Linked DNA regions of Alligator mississippiensis. The protein of the gene in region 2 interacts with the protein of the main gene of each other region in a pairwise test. Links are inferred from orthologs where the notes say so. Each region holds a gene or a part of one and is shown on either strand. Other genes may lie near its edges.

What was found.
Region 1: the proteins of CCND3 (region 2) and RBL2 interact in a two-hybrid assay, tested with the Homo sapiens proteins (2 studies listed by BioGRID). The link is inferred for Alligator mississippiensis from reciprocal best matches to the Homo sapiens genes CCND3 and RBL2.

What each region holds. Positions count from the first base shown.
Region 1 is NC_081833.1:48,731,424-48,739,397, reverse strand, and holds the start of RBL2 (retinoblastoma-like protein 2), read left to right. Parts: upstream 1-4,959; 5' UTR 4,960-5,037; coding exon 5,038-5,244; intron 5,245-5,554; exon of another isoform or gene 5,555-5,759; intron 5,760-7,611; coding exon 7,612-7,742; intron 7,743-7,974. UniProt on the Homo sapiens protein: Key regulator of entry into cell division. Directly involved in heterochromatin formation by maintaining overall chromatin structure and, in particular, that of constitutive heterochromatin by stabilizing histone methylation.
Region 2 is NC_081837.1:39,028,676-39,036,005, forward strand, and holds the start of CCND3 (G1/S-specific cyclin-D3), read right to left. Parts: upstream 3,015-7,330; 5' UTR 2,879-3,014; coding exon 2,681-2,878; intron 566-2,680; coding exon 350-565; intron 1-349. UniProt on the Homo sapiens protein: Regulatory component of the cyclin D3-CDK4 (DC) complex that phosphorylates and inhibits members of the retinoblastoma (RB) protein family including RB1 and regulates the cell-cycle during G(1)/S transition.

The sequences.
Region 1 (7,974 bases), on a different chromosome or scaffold from region 2:
TGCTTGGAACAAAATCTTACTCGGCTCTTCAAAACATGTCTGAGTTGTTAAGAATGCAAATATGCTAAGGTGACAGAGGCAGAGACTCAACCAAAGAAATTTTGTATAGTTTTGTTGAAGTTACTGAGCTGATAACTTATCCTAGTGAAGGGTCTGCCTGTAGAAAATATTGTTTAATTATGTGTTTTGAAGGTAGGAAAAGAATTAAAATACTAAACCTTGGGGAAAAGAAAGTATTTCCATCTAGACTTAAATATAAACAATTAGGAGCCCTCTGTTCAAAATGAGTTGGGCTGAGCAATAAAACTTGTGTATATTAATACCTCCATTCAAAATTTTTTGTTCCCTTAGATTACTGTGTTTTGGCTTCTGTAATCTGTTGGATAAACATTCCTGAAATACTGTGGAGTCTGTTTTCAGTTGATTTAATCACTGATAGGTAAAATCACTGCTGCCAGAGCCTCCAGCTATGCTTCTTAGAATGAATCAGAAACTCTGTGGTATGACTTCACTTACCAAGAAGCAGGTTTAAAAAAAATAAGACAGACAGACACCACTCTTCTCTCCTTGTGTTGACTTGTTTTTGTCCTAGTCCTAGAATCAGAGAGCCCTTCCTCAACCTTTTAGTTTTCTTGAGTTCTTCCAGATGGAAAGAAAATGCATAAAGTGGGAGAAGAAAGGGATACAAGAAGGAACAGATATTCTTGGTCACATGTTCCAGGTGCAACAGTTAATTCTCTGACAGCATGACTTGGTTCCCTGCCTCTTGCCCAATTCATCTTTGATCAGGCATCAAAGGTGCAAAACCCTCATGTAAGTGAACCAGATATGGTCTGCTTTGGGCCTCCCTCTTACTGCCACCTTAATTTTTTTTTTATATATAAATAAAACAGTCTCCCTCATATATATGAGGGAGAGGGAGACTGTTTTAGATAATTCATTGGATCTTTTCTGTCAAGGTTTAGGAGTCTTGGGGTAGGGCACTTGCTTCCACCAACACCTGCTAACTGGCTGCCTCGCCTCAGGCTTTGTTCCTGATGAAAGCTGATTACAGGACAGTTTTGATTTACTGCTGTGCAGTTTGTTTCCTGCTGTCTGATCTCTGCTGTGCCTGTTCTAGCAAAATAAATTGGAGATCAGTTCTGTCCTTCTGGGAGCAGCTTTTAGTTTAGTTGTGTTTAATGTCAGCAGCATCCTGGTGTACTAGGACTCAACCCATCTCCCTGGGCAAAAATTTTGAGATTCCCTTTGGCATCAAGCCTGCCACCCATTCAGCTTACACTGCAATTTCTCCATTATTTCAGCCAATCTAGCTATATCTAGAAGTGGATAACCAGGCAGTTGTGAATTAGTTGTCTTATTTCTCTTCAGAACAACTTCTGATAACATTTGATGCATCTACACAAGACGCTAAATGCGCAATTGACTAATTCTACTGCACATTAGTGCATCGCGGCAAAAGCCGTGCTAATGCACAGTAAAATTAGTCTACTAAGCATTACCATCACTAAAAAGGTGTGTGGTGGCACTACTGTATAGTTACACTAGTTGCTGCACATCAAGTTAGTACCTGTTATTACAAGTACTGAATTTAATGCACAGTAACTATGGTGCCTTAATGCACGGTAGACATGCCCATTCCCAGTTAGCTTAAGCCCAATGGGATGTAGATAAAATTAGCAAGAGGTCTAGAAAACAACCTTGTCAGTGAAATTTAACTTTGTTACCACTGTGTTCAAAAGGTTTGTTTAATCTGAAGTGGAAACCAGAAACAGTATAACACACAAATCCTACTACTCAGTGCTTAGTTACTTACTCCTTTTGAATACTCTTTTAAGTAACATCATTCCATGTACTCACAAAAGCCCTTTTCAACAAATGTTCAGCAGTAATGCTTCTGAGCATTTCAAGGAAGGGAGAAAGTATTTGTATTTCAGTACCACTTAGAAGCTCCTGTCTCAAACCAGGGCTTCATTGATTTAAGTGGTGTCTACATTGGGTATTTTTCTGTAGGCAGTAATACTGGTAGCAGAAGTTTGTTGTTCACAAGATCTGTGATAGAACTGAAAAGTGAAGGAGAGGTAGCAGAAAGCAGTTGCATAGAGTTAATATGTTAAAAGATATTTATTTTAAGCTGATTTCAAACTGAATAACTTCCGATAACATAAAAGCAAGTTATTTTTTCAATGGATTTAAATTCTTCATGGGGGGGGGGGAAAATTCAATGAATTATGTATGAAAGTTTTCTTTGTTGAAAGTCTCCTCTGAACATGCAGTACTAAATATTTTTCCATATCTAAAAACCAATAGGATTAGGGCTGTAAATGGAAGTTTAATCATTTGGAGTAGGGGTGCTCAGTCTCTGGCCCATGAGTCAGACATGGCCCACGGAGCCATCATATCTGGCCCACAGAGCTGTCCATGGGGTGGGAAGTTTGGTGGCAGGGAAGCAGTGGCCATTAATACAGTCACCCTCACCTTGCCAAATTCCCAATCCCCAAACTGTGCACTGCACTGCACTTCACAGCCAATCCACGACACCTCTTCCACCTTCCACATCTGGATTGGTGGATTGGGTCGGGACCATACTCTTTCCCCCTCCCCCCCCCCCCTTTGCAGAGCTGGTTTGGGGCTAAACCACACCCTTCCCATGTCCTCTCCTGCCTGCTGGGTCAAGCCCTGCCCGGTTTACTCATGGGGCTGGGATGGGGCCTCCCCCACACCGTGAAGCCCCCCTTTTCTCTATGGGGCCAAGCAACACTCTCCTCCTGTGTTGCAGGATTATAACTGGGCTGCCCCCTACCCCTTCCACATGGCTGGATGGTGTCCACTGCACCAGTCCCAGTGCTGGATCACTGGCAGGATCCAGGCCATGAACAGACACAGGGCATTATTCTTGCTGGACTCCCACAAATGTGATCCTTTAATAATTATATCAAAGGTTTTCCCAATAATAGAGATAAGGCTAACTGGCCTATAGTTACCTGGATCCTCCTTCCTCCCTTTCTTGAAAATAGAGGCCACATTTTCCCTTTTCTAATCCTGTGGGACCTGACGAGCATCATGAGCGCTCAAGCAATCGTGCCAGTACTGCTATGACACTGGCCAATTCCTTCAGCTCCCTGGGATGATCATCTGGGCCTGCTGACTTAAACACATCTAGCCCCTCCAAGTGTCCCTTCACTAAGTCAGCACTAACAGTTAGTGGGCTGGTTTCCCTCCTGTGCTCATCTACAATCCGGTTGGGAGATATGTCCTGATTCATGGTCAGGAATACAGATGCAAAAAACTCATTGAAAAGCTCAGCCTTGTCCCTCCTATCTGTCACTAATTGCCCTAGTCTGCTCTGTAGGGGTCCTATGTTATCCTGCGCCGCCTTTTTGCTCCCTATATACCTGTAGAAGGACTTTTTGTTGTCTTTAATGTTTGTCACCAGCCTGAGTTCCATTGCTGCTTTGGCCTTTCTCACTGCCTCCCTGCAAGTGAGAGCCAAGGAGGTATACTCCTTGGTAGCTGCCCCCTGCTTCCATAGCCTGTATGCCCCTTTCTTTGCCCCTAGGCTTTCCTGGATTTCCCTGTTCAGCCAAGAGGGTTTCTTGGCCCCTTTGCCCCCTTTCATGCGCAATGGGATTGTCTCCTGCATTTGAAGGATCGTTCCCTTTAGGAATAACCACCCTTCCTGGACTCCCATCTCATCAATGCCCCTGATCATCAGTACCTTGCTAACTAATTTTCTGAGCTTATTGAAGTTGGTTTTTCTGAAGTCTAGCACTTCTGTTCTGCTGGTTATCTTTCTTGAGCCAGCTTTCCCTTAAAATGAGTAGGAGATGAAGCTGGCCAAAACTGCCATGGACTTGAATGAACATGATGCTTGGAATTACAGATTTGAATCTCAGTAAACTTTAGCAAAAATGGCTGATTATTTACCTTTCATGCTCTTACTAATACAGTGCCACCTAGCGTTTGTGAAGCAGATGAAAAATGTCACTGGTCCAGATTTTTGGATTGTTTCAGGTACCTAAATTCCTTCCTTTTCCTCCAGTTTTTGTTCATAAACTCAGCCATGGCTTTCATAATACAATTTTAGCTGTGAAACTTTATTATCAGAAAACCAAAAAAAGATGCGTGCATAGTTTATATTTTCTCTCTCAAGAGCCACAGCAGAAGTCTTAACTGTTCTTGACTTCCTGTAATGTCTATTGTGTGAATATTTCTTCAGTACAGAAGACCGAGAGGAGCTCATTTTTTCTCTTATCTCTGTCATCTGTGTTGAAAGACACTACTGATTTATAACACAGTCACGTCTCTACAAACAGATCCATTTGTTCATTTCACGCTGCACGGCAGGTACTGGTGCCTTTAAATCACTCTCCAGAAACCGTCTGACTTATCAGGTAGGCTGCCATGTTCAGAGACACAGACCCTTCCGTAGGGTGCTGTGGAGAGCGGTGCAGCGCGCAGGCGTGCTGAGTAAGACAGAACAAATGAAGTGATATTAATAAAAAGGACAAGGAAAGGTAGAAGAAGGGGATCTACTGCGACCGTGCAAGGGAGATAGGATCTACCCACGCTCAGCGTTGGCCCAAGGGAGGCCCACGTGACCCCGCTTCGGTTCCCTCCCGCGCTCATTTGCATACAGCCTTCCCGCCCCCCGCGGCGGCGGCGGCGCGCGCAGGCCGGAGGGGGTGACGTCACAAGGCCGTGGAAGACGCGGAGTCAGGCACCGGAACTCCGCCCTACTGGCGGGGGTGGGGACCAGCTGCGAGAGCATGCCGGGAGTGACAATCCTATGTCGGGTTTGGGCGCAGGGAAGAGGGTCTGGGCAGCCGTGGAAAACGGAGTGCGCCTGCGTGAAGGGGGGGACTGCTGATTGGTAGAAGCACCCTGCCCTGGCCAATGGGAGGGCGAGGCGGGGGCGGGGCTCAACGCCGGGGGGTTAGGATTCGAATGCGCGTCGGGAAGCCCCTGGCCGGGCGCAGGCGCAGTGCGAGGCGCGGGGCGCTGCCCCCTAGCGCCGGGGCTCGTGGCGGAGGGGAGATGCCGGGCGAGGAGGAGGAGGAGGCCGAAGCGGGGCCTGGGGGGCCTGCGGCCACCTCCCCCGCGCCATGCCCGTCACCGCCGGCCGAGGAGTGGGACACGCGGCAGCGCTACGAGGAGCTCTGCGGCAGCCTCAACATGGACGAGCGCGCGCGCGCAGAGGCCTGGCTCAGCTACCAGGGCATGAGGCGCAACTACACCCTGGAGGTGCGCGGCGGCCGCGCGGGGCGGGGCCCGGCTGAGGGGCAGGGGAGGGTTTCCGGGCCCCTCCCTCCCCTCCTCTCGGGCCTGAGGGGCGGCGGCGCCCCGTGGCCCTGCCTTTGGTCCCGTCAGAAGTGCGCGGAGAGGGCTCCGCTGCGGCCTGTCGCTGCATGTCCCGCTCGGCCGCGCCTCGTGCCGGCGGAAGGGTTTTGTGGCCGGGTGTAACGACGTGTGGGACCAGAATCAGACCCCCGCCCCCCGGAAGGGTAGCTGGGGGATGAGAGGAGCAGCCCCTGCAGGGGTGCCATAACCAGACCTGGACCCTCAGCTTCTTTCAGGCAGCCTAAAATCCAGGCACGATGCATAGCCTGGGCCCCGAGCGCCATCTGCTGCGGGGTCTCTGTCCTGGCTGCGCCTGTGGTCCCAGCGTCTGAGATCCTCCAGGGCTCCCATCGTGGGTGCCTGCTGCTTGCCAGTGCAGCGGGAACCCAGGATCAGGCTCCGCCTACACCCGCATGATTGGATCTAAGCGTGATCCCGTAATTGCACCTTTTGCCACGCATGTGTGGCATGGCAGGTGAAATTGTGTGGATCGCGTTGGGTTCAATCATGCCGTTACCCCCAGGTGTAGAGAGAACCAGATATTTTTATATCCATTTTGTGTGGTAGCACCTCACAGCTGGCAGGGTGTTCTGCGCTGCATAATTTCCTAGCATGGCTCTAAAGCGATGTAGTCATCTTGTATGGGTGACAGAACAGACTGACCAAAACTATATTCCTTCAGAAAACACTAGGCTCTCTTCTCAGAGCTAGGTAGTGTCTTGGATCTATTGCCTTTGTGACTGACTGAGTTACAAAGTACTGTAGAAGTTTGAAACTTGACCAAGTAGGAATTTCTTAATTCCTTAGTTTCTAATTGTTGATTTTTATTGCAATCAACCTAGACAGTCCAACCTGAAAGTATTAATCCACAGTTCTTCTGGTAGAAAAAAAAGGAACGTACCCGTGGTGGTAATACTTAATATAGTTAAATTCAGTGCATGTCTGCGTGCTTGTGCACACATGTGTATTGTTTATCTAAATAGACAATCATTCCATTGTATAATATGGGTAGAAGAGAAGATAGTTCAGGGAATTATATCCTGGCTAGAAACAGCTATTTTATAATGATCGTGTGCTGGAAAAAAAATATACAGGCATCCCCCGCTTAGTGCCATTAATTGGTTCCAGAAAAACTGAGTGTTAAGCGGAACTGCGCTAAGCGAAACCACTTTCTCCATAGAAATAAATGTAAATAGAAATTTATTGGTTACTGCCTGCCCCACTGCCGCCTCTCCCCCGCCCACCTGCTGACACTCCAGCCCCACATACCAGCCCGGGCCCATGCTCCTGCCTCCTTGCTGGTCTTGGCCCTGGGCACTAGCACAGGTCCCACGCTCATGCCTGCCCCCACCCCCCTTGCTTGCCCACTGGCCTCTCTGGCCTCATGTGCCGCCCTGCTCTGGGCACCGGACCCTGCCGCCGGGTACCAATGCGGGCCCTGCACTCCTGCTGCCCCACTCCGGGCACAGGTCCCCACTGGCCTTGGCTCCAAGCAGTGGTGCGGGCCCCAGGCCACTCACCTCTGTCGCTCCCCACCCCCCTGCTGAACCTCCGATGGAGTGCCATCATGGGCACTGGTGCTCTTGCCGCCCTGTTTTGGGTGCAGGCTTCCACTGGCCCTGGCACGGGCCCCACACACCAGCACAGGTTCCACCCCAACCCCAGGTGCAGACCCCTGCCAGCCCAGGCACCAGCTTGGGTCCCACGCTCCTCCCCTCTTTTGCAGCCACTTGTCTCCACCCACCACACCTGCTCCTGCACCATGTGCCTGGGCCCAGGCTTCTGCCATCCCACCCTGAGCCCTCATGCCTGCCTACGCACTCACTGCCACTCACTCACCTCCCACTCACTGTTGTCGCTTCCACTTCTCCCTGCCCTCCTGCCTGCTGAAACTCCGATTCCACTGAGTGCTATAGCGAAACTGGCTGAGCGCTCAGTGGAATTGGGAATCAATTCCAAGTGAGCACTATAGGAAAATAGTGCTAACTAAAACCGCATTAAGCAGGGGTTGCCTGTAATAGGAATACGCTGGAATTTTGGCTTAAATCTGAAGTGTAAAAAAAAAAAAAAAAAGTTAAATGGCTCTTCAAGTCATTTTGATGTTACCCAATTTGAACCTGTATCTTGTATAGCTGAAATATGGTTCATTTCGGTAGACCTTTTAAATACTTAACACCCATTCCCTTTAAATGTACCGGGCATTTGTTGTAGCTAAAGTAAATGAAAGTCTTCCAAATGTATGTTTTAGAGACTTAATATTTAATTTTGCAGGGAAATGAACTACATTGGCTGGCATGTGCTTTATATGTGGCTTGCAGAAAAGCAGTCCCAACCGTGAGCAAAGGGACTGTCGAAGGAAACTACGTATCTTTAACTAGAATCTTGCGCTGCTCAGAACAGAGGTAACCTCCTCCCCTCCCCCCCCATGTGTTTGCACTTGTAAAATATAAAAAAAACTTTATTTCAGCTACAGCCATTGAGAATGAAGGCATCTAGACATTGAAAATGAAGAAAAATAATAATAATTTTAACTCTTAATACCTGCTTTTGGACACAAAGTATTTAAATGTCAGTGCCTTTGTAACATCACTTAACACTATTATGAATTAGTTTATCATAATGAAACATTCCTAG
Region 2 (7,330 bases):
AAGGAAGCTAGGCACAGAGCCCAACATGGGACACAATGAGGCTCAATGATGGGATGTGCACTGAAGCATAGAGAATGGTTTCTACAACTTCAGTGTCACAATTCTGCATCTAGCGGGCAGAATGGGAGACCACCACTACATCTGCAGGGGGGGCAGGTCTGAGGAAGGGTGCTGGTCTATCTCAGAAAGGCAGTGTGTCCACTTGGGTTAGGAAGCAAAGAGGCTGAATGGGAGAAACAGGAGGAAGACAGGATCCACAATGCACATATGTTGCCAGGGAGCAGCACCTAGAGGGTATAAAGAGCAGGGAGTGAGGTGAGGGCTCTATCAGGCAGGGTGGGGTGGTTACCAGGAGCTGCTGCGCCGTGATGGAATTGTCTGTGTAAATGCAGAGTTTCTCCACAGTCAGGGGCATGGTCTCTCGCAGCTTGGAAGCCAGGAGCATGCAGACAGCCCCTAGAAGCTGCAAGTGATTTTTCCGCGTCTGGACTGAAGATAGGTAGCGATCCACATAATTCATGGCCAAGGGGAAGACCTCTTCTTCACACTTCTGTTCCTCACATACCTAACAAAACCCAAGTAGAAGAGAGGAGGCTTTAGATGTGCAGAACTCAGCAGCTTCTATCTGCAGCAGGACTTCAAAGCTTCTGATTATTACAGTACACTACACATCTGTACAGCTGTATATCTGGTGATCAGAAAGACCTTTAAATAGTAAGAGCTAAATTCTCTGCTGTTGTAACTTCAACACTTCATGTGTGACACGAGCACAGAGTTTAGCCCGATGCCTTCAAACACTACTACTTGTCTTTACATGGCAGGCAGGAAAAATGGTAGCATGGGTGTAATGGAGGCAGAGGTTGAGACCACAATCGTGTGTGTGTGTGTGTGTGTGTGTGTGTATAAAAGTGTAAGGTCTTGTGACTGCCTCCATCTTTGACGTGAGATGCCTATAGCCCGATTACCAGTGATCCTGATCACTTCCTGCTCACACCGATTGTGAGGACTCAGCACCTCTGAAGTGAGTCCCAGCATGTCTCAAGCTGGACACCTCAGGGTGATGGTACCCAAATGAGGTGGCTTGTCCAATGTCACAAAGTCAATGGCAGAGAACCCAAGTTGCCCAAGCTCCGAGCTCCTTTCTGTGCATACCATACTTGTATCATGGTCAAATACAGGATCCAGGAGTCCTGAATTTCAATCCTAGCCACAAGACTATACCACTGAAACACTGATCAAATGTACTTCCTTCTTTTACCGTAGCTACAAAAATACTGAGGTTTTCCCTCATGCCGCAACTAATATCATCCTTCTCTTTCAAATGTTAACTCTGCTTCCCTATGTACCTTTTACAGGCTGACATAAACCCCCAGCACAGAGACTCTCTTTAAAAAATAAAGTCAGGCTCATACTTCAGAGGTTTAATTTTGCTTGCATTTTTCCCCCCTGTAATGAAAAAATAAAATTATCATCATCATCATAAAAATTAGTGTTAAATCTTGGTGCCACTGAAGTCAATACAAGTTTTGCCATTGATTTCAATAGGACCTGGATTTGGTCTTAATTGCTCAAACACTTTAAAATCAGAAGCTAGAGGGACTGACGTTTCTTTGGGACAAGTCCTGCGAGAAGCTGAGGGCCCTCTGCTGCCATTGACTCCAGCACTTCATAGGATCAGGCTGCAACCCAGCTTCCAGCCAAGAAACGATGGCAAGGGAAGGGGCTTTAACAGACAGAACAATGATAGAAAAGGCAGTGCTGAGCACTTCTTTTATTTTAAAGGTAACTGGGTACTGTGTGGCAACAGTCAGTGGGGTAGAGAGAATGACTGGCTGGATTCAACCACATTTTATATCTCCCATTTGCTTCTGAATTGAGGCGTTTCATTCTTTAATTAAGACAAGGGAAAAGTGGCTCTGGTGCCTTTCCTTGTCCAGGTGAGTCATGCGGGGTGGGGGCTGCATTCGCTTTTGTGTTTGGGGAAGTGGGTGGCTGGCATCTTCTAGCTGAGCTCTCCCCTGGGCGCTGACAAACCCTTCTCCAAGCATTTAGACACGCTGCAGAGCACTGTCCGGTGTGCTCTGCTCCGCACTCCCCCACATCAAACCACTAGTTTTAAACCTGGGACCTCACTCCCATCCCCGTTTTCTCTTCAGCTGCCCCGATGCGTCCGCTGCGGCCTCCCTCCTAAGGGAGGATTATAGTTCTTCCGTGATGGGCCCAAGCCCGTGATCCACCAGGCACATCCAAAGGCCCCACATGCTGCAGGGAACTTTTTCAGCAGCGGTTGCGGGGAGGAGGTGGGAGCAGGGGGACCCCTAGAGGCATTGCCACATACTGCCTGCAGGACTTCCCCCCTGCCTGCTGCAGCTCATGGAGGGAGGGGAGGCATCCCAGCTGCTGCCCATCACCTTCTCTATAGCTGCTTATACCCCATAGGGCAAAGGGGGGCTTGGTTTTATGCCCCCTGCTCCCACCAGCTGAGCCTGCAGCCAGCAAGGCCCCAAGGTGGAGCTCTGCCCCCCTTTTGCACCCCCAAACCCTTCCCCCCAGGGAGCTGGGCTCCAGGGAAGCCGGGGTGGGGCTCCCACCCCCGACGGGCAAAGGCTTGGAAAGTTGCCGGCGGCTGGGCACAGAGAGCTGGAGGGAGCAGGGACCCAGCCGAGGGGGGGTCCCGTACCTCCAGCATCCAGAAGGCCAGCATCTTCCGCATGTAGGGCTTGATCTCCTTCTGCACGCACTGGAAGTAGGAGACCCGCGGGGTATAGCGCTCCTCCTGGCTCAGCAGGTTCTGCAGCACCCGCCGGTCCCCCAGCAGCTGAGGGTCTTGCCCGGCCCGGGGCACGCGGGGCGGCCCCTCCGCGCACAGCAGCTCCATGTGCCCGGGGGCCGGGGCAGGGGCGGGGAGCGGGGGCTTGCAGGCGAGGAGCCGGCCGGGCGGGCGGTCACGCAGCAGCCGCGGAGCCGGCCCGGCCCAGCCCAGCCCAGCCCAGCCCACCCCCTGCGGCACTGCTAGTGCCGGATCCACTGTTGCGCTTTTTAGAACGTCGGGAAGTTGCAACGTTCCAAGTGGGCGGGGCGACGCGCCGGGCCCCGCCCCCCAGGGGAGGGGGCAGGGAGCTGCAAGCCCCGTTCGGTCACCTCTGTAGTGTGGGCAGCTGCTGTGTCTGAGGCGGCTGCCCCCGGCCCCGAGGCTCCTGGATGCCAGGGCTTCCCCAGCCCTTGATCCCTGCCAAGAGGAGGGGGGCCTGGCTTCCCCCTGCCCCAGGGGTGCCCCCCGCACCCCCCCCGGTGCAGGGTGGGGGGCGTGAAAGCGTGCAGGAATGCCACCCATCAGTCTCATCCATTCAAACGCAGAGCCCCCTAGCTCAGAGGGCTAGGAAAGAGAGGGACTGGACTGAAAAACCCATGGGAAGGACTAGCTTGCAGGGGTTTTACAGCCGTTGCAATTTCTGAGCGTGCATTATATTGACTGCCCTTCTTCGGTATTGTCCTACCTAGGCAGCCATGTGGTCTGCTGGAGCCACAATGTCATACCATCACATTGCAGGATCTGCAAAGCTCTTGAGTTGTGATGGCGGGATACCGATTCACTGGGTTAAAAACGGGTAAATCCTGGAGGTTTCAGAAGAGTTCCCATTTCAGTCTTTTATGTCTGATTTCTATTATTCTCTCTTCCATATTTAACTCTGTAGCTATTTTTGTTCACAATCCGTCGATGTTCTGAGAATAACCAGCTGCATGTATGTTGAAGGGTTGTCTGCACCTGGCTTTTTCCTCCATAAAAGCTGCCCTGGCATTGCTAACACTAGTGCAGCACTGGGACAGGCTCCCCACAGAGGTGGTGGACTCTCCATTCTTGGAGGTTTTTAAGACCTGGCTTGACAAAGCCTTGGTTGGGATGATCTAGATGGGGACGGTCCTGCTTTGAGCAGGGGTTGGACTACATGTGACCTCCTGAGGTGCCTTCCCGACCTTCATTTTCTATGATGGGAGATGGCAATGCTGGGAGTTTGAGTAGATATGATTTTTGAAGGCACTGGCATTTTTAACCCCATGGAATAATGGTTTTGCAATACAAGTGTTCCTAACAGCTAAAGAAGTGCCTGAGGCAGTTGTCCACTTATTCTTCTCTCTCTTCAGAACAGGGATAGTAAAACATATTTTTCTGTCACAGTTACAGTATTAGAAAAACAACTGAAGGGAGTTTCTTCAAGCTTGAAAAATTAAAGATGACAAAAACAGTTTCATTAGGTTGAAAATGAATCTGGGTAATGTCACCTCAAAGGGCCAATTTTTGCAAACTGCTCTATTGATTTTGAAAGGGACGGTGTTAGAAGGGAATGGTCATCTTGTATGAGCCTCTTGGTTGCTATCAGGTTGCTGCTATATGATGCAGTCATATGGCAAGTGCATGAGCAATTTGAAGCAAGAAATAAATTAGATAATTAAAGATGTTGGTGGTAGAAGATCACTTCTAGATGATCTAAGTCATACTCTTGGTCAGCTTAATCTTGTTCTCTACCATATTTTCTACTCCTTTATCCGGTCTAGGATTAAATGCCTCACGAGGAGTTCCTACTATGCAGTTTTGCAAAGGGTCACGTGTAGCAATTCATACTGCAGCGTTACTGTGCAAGGTCCACTCTTGGTGTGTGGAGAAGTGGCAGATGCCTTCAGATCAGTGTGGCCAAAAGCTTGGAGCCTTGGGATATGTATATTCAAGCCTCCACATTTGGGAGAAATGGGTTACATGGAAAACATGGGTGTGCTGGAAGCAATGTCATGCACAGTGTCTTAAGATGGAGTATCCACTGTGACCTGTACTCTTAGAAATGTGTCTAAAATTACAAGTTATGGACATGGGATCATAGGAGGCAGAAACTGAAATGACCTAGCAGATGTCTGGGTTGATCCTTTTTGTCCATCTATCCCCATCTGCATTCACTACCACATTGAGGCACCTCACACTTTTGTGCTTCTTCAGCCATTTAAAAACACAACCTTTTCATCAAGAATGAACAGAACTGTTTTTTGCACTCCTTGGTTTAGGCGCTTTGTCCTCTTTGGAAACCTTTAATCTGAACAGTCAAAAGAGAACATACCATATTCTTTTTAAATCAAAGCTTTCAAATGCTCTCATTTTTTACAAATTTGATGCAATTCACACGGCGAGGTTCTGTTCCTACAATCCAGACTCACAGAGCTTGAATGACCTCTCCTAAGGACCTTCAGCATCCCTCTCTCTGTACTCATCTCTTATACTTATGGGATCTAGTCATTTTTAAAGATGCCAATGTCATAGCATTATAATGCTGATTGCATTAAAAAAATCCCATAGCAAGGTAACATGGAACAGGAGTAGAGGGATGAGCAAAACGTGGAGGCTTGAATGACACCGATTCAACCCCAGTCTTGAAATGAAAAAAGAGGCATTTCAGTGGGTGACAGAACTGTAAAAGCTACCTCCTGTTGTAACTTTTCTTCACATTCCACAAAAGCCTCCTAGGTCTGCGGACACAAAATATTTGAAGAATCCATGAGAGAGATTTTTGTAGACCAATCAGCTGAATTTAATCCAGGATGTCCCCCATTCTTTTATTGTGGGCAGCATCTTTTGTTTTGTACAAGCAAAGAGAAGGACCTTGAATCCCATGTTTTGCAGTAAAAATAGATCGAAACATATTTTCTTTAGCCAAGCAAAGGAAAACCGCATCGGACCCATTGGATTCTGGGTCCCTGTGTTGTCTGGACTGTGCCTGTTGAAATTGAAAGTTTCAGGCCATACCCCAGACACAATGGCCTCTCTCACATTTCTCACTGTCCACATGGGTGGTTTTAATTCGGCCGGTTAGGAATATGCTGCAGCCAGGCTCAATGGTAGACAGGGGACATAAGGGAAAAAATGAAGGTTGTGGCATAAGAAAGTGTTCCTTCCAGATGATGACTTAGCAAAACTGATGCCTCTGCAACCACATTATCAGGCTAGCAAGGCAAATTACAGACTGCAGGAGTCCTGAAAAGCCTGTTGTGTGGGTGTGTGGAGGGAAGGGAGAGAATTCCAGGAAAACCAAATTTTGGTCACTGTTGACTGTAGATAGACAACTTCCTGGCCTCAGTAGCAGAGAACTCAGCAATGTAAAAAAAGGAAATTCCTTCAGAGTAAAAGAAAAAAATTGAGGGTTTCTAGACTTACAGGATCTCAGACCAGCAATGTTATTCTTTGCTGAATCACCAAGAGGGATCATTATTTCGGTATGCTGATGATGAATTTAAGAGAGTCACCAAGATTAGGAGCTTTTAAAGGGCCAGTGTGGCTACCGGATCAGATTCTCAGCTGGTATCAAACTCATGCTCAGACCGTCATAGGAAGAAGGCTAAAGTGATATAGAAGCTGTTCATATAACAAGGGCACTTTGTGCCAAATCTTCACCTGGCGTAACGCAGTTGACTGAGCAACACTGATTTGCATCAGCTGAGATCTGTCCCGTGACATCTGTCCATAGACACAATTGTAATATCTCAGCCATGCATTTTTTGCCTTTCCGATGTCTTATATTTTGCAGCCATCTTCTACCCAGCTCTGAACTGTCAACGTGAAACTGTTTTTTTCTGTCAAATTGCAACTAAAGCATCATCGGTAATATCATAATGAAACTAATTAACTTACATATCAGACATAAAAACCAAACTCTCACAAATTAGTGAATCTATACAAAAGATGCTGTAGGAAATACCCCCAAAACTTTTCACTTTGGGATCTCAAAGCACTGTAGAAATCTGAATTAGTTAAACATAAGAACCCACACCACCTTCCGGAGGTAGACATTCTGTCCATTTTATGGAAGTGAATGCTATTTCACAGAGGAGTTAAAAAGGTCATACAGCAGTTCAGTGGGTAACAAAACCCAGAAATCCCTTTTCCTGACACCCTGCTTAAACAGCTGCCTCCTTAAAGGGCCCATTGAAGTCCTTTTCCTAACTTAATCATCCTTTTCTTAGGAAAGATTTCCATTTGCTGCAGTGAGAGTTTAGCTTGAGCGCAGTCTTGACACATGGGATGTATTTCCTAATATTATTTCTTAATATTGGCAACCATTGCACTCTGTTTCCTTTAACTTGGTCAAACTTGAGTACAAATAACTAATCTGTGGTGATATCATGTGGAGGGGGAAGGGAACAGAACCTCAGCAAGGCTTAGATGTCCTTTAGCAGATGCAACGAGCTGGCTGAAGAAGGCCTACTCCATACTAGGGTGGGATTGTGAACTAACCCAATTATATCAGTATAATCCTGGTTTAGCTACACAGATAGGACCATCAAGTTATTA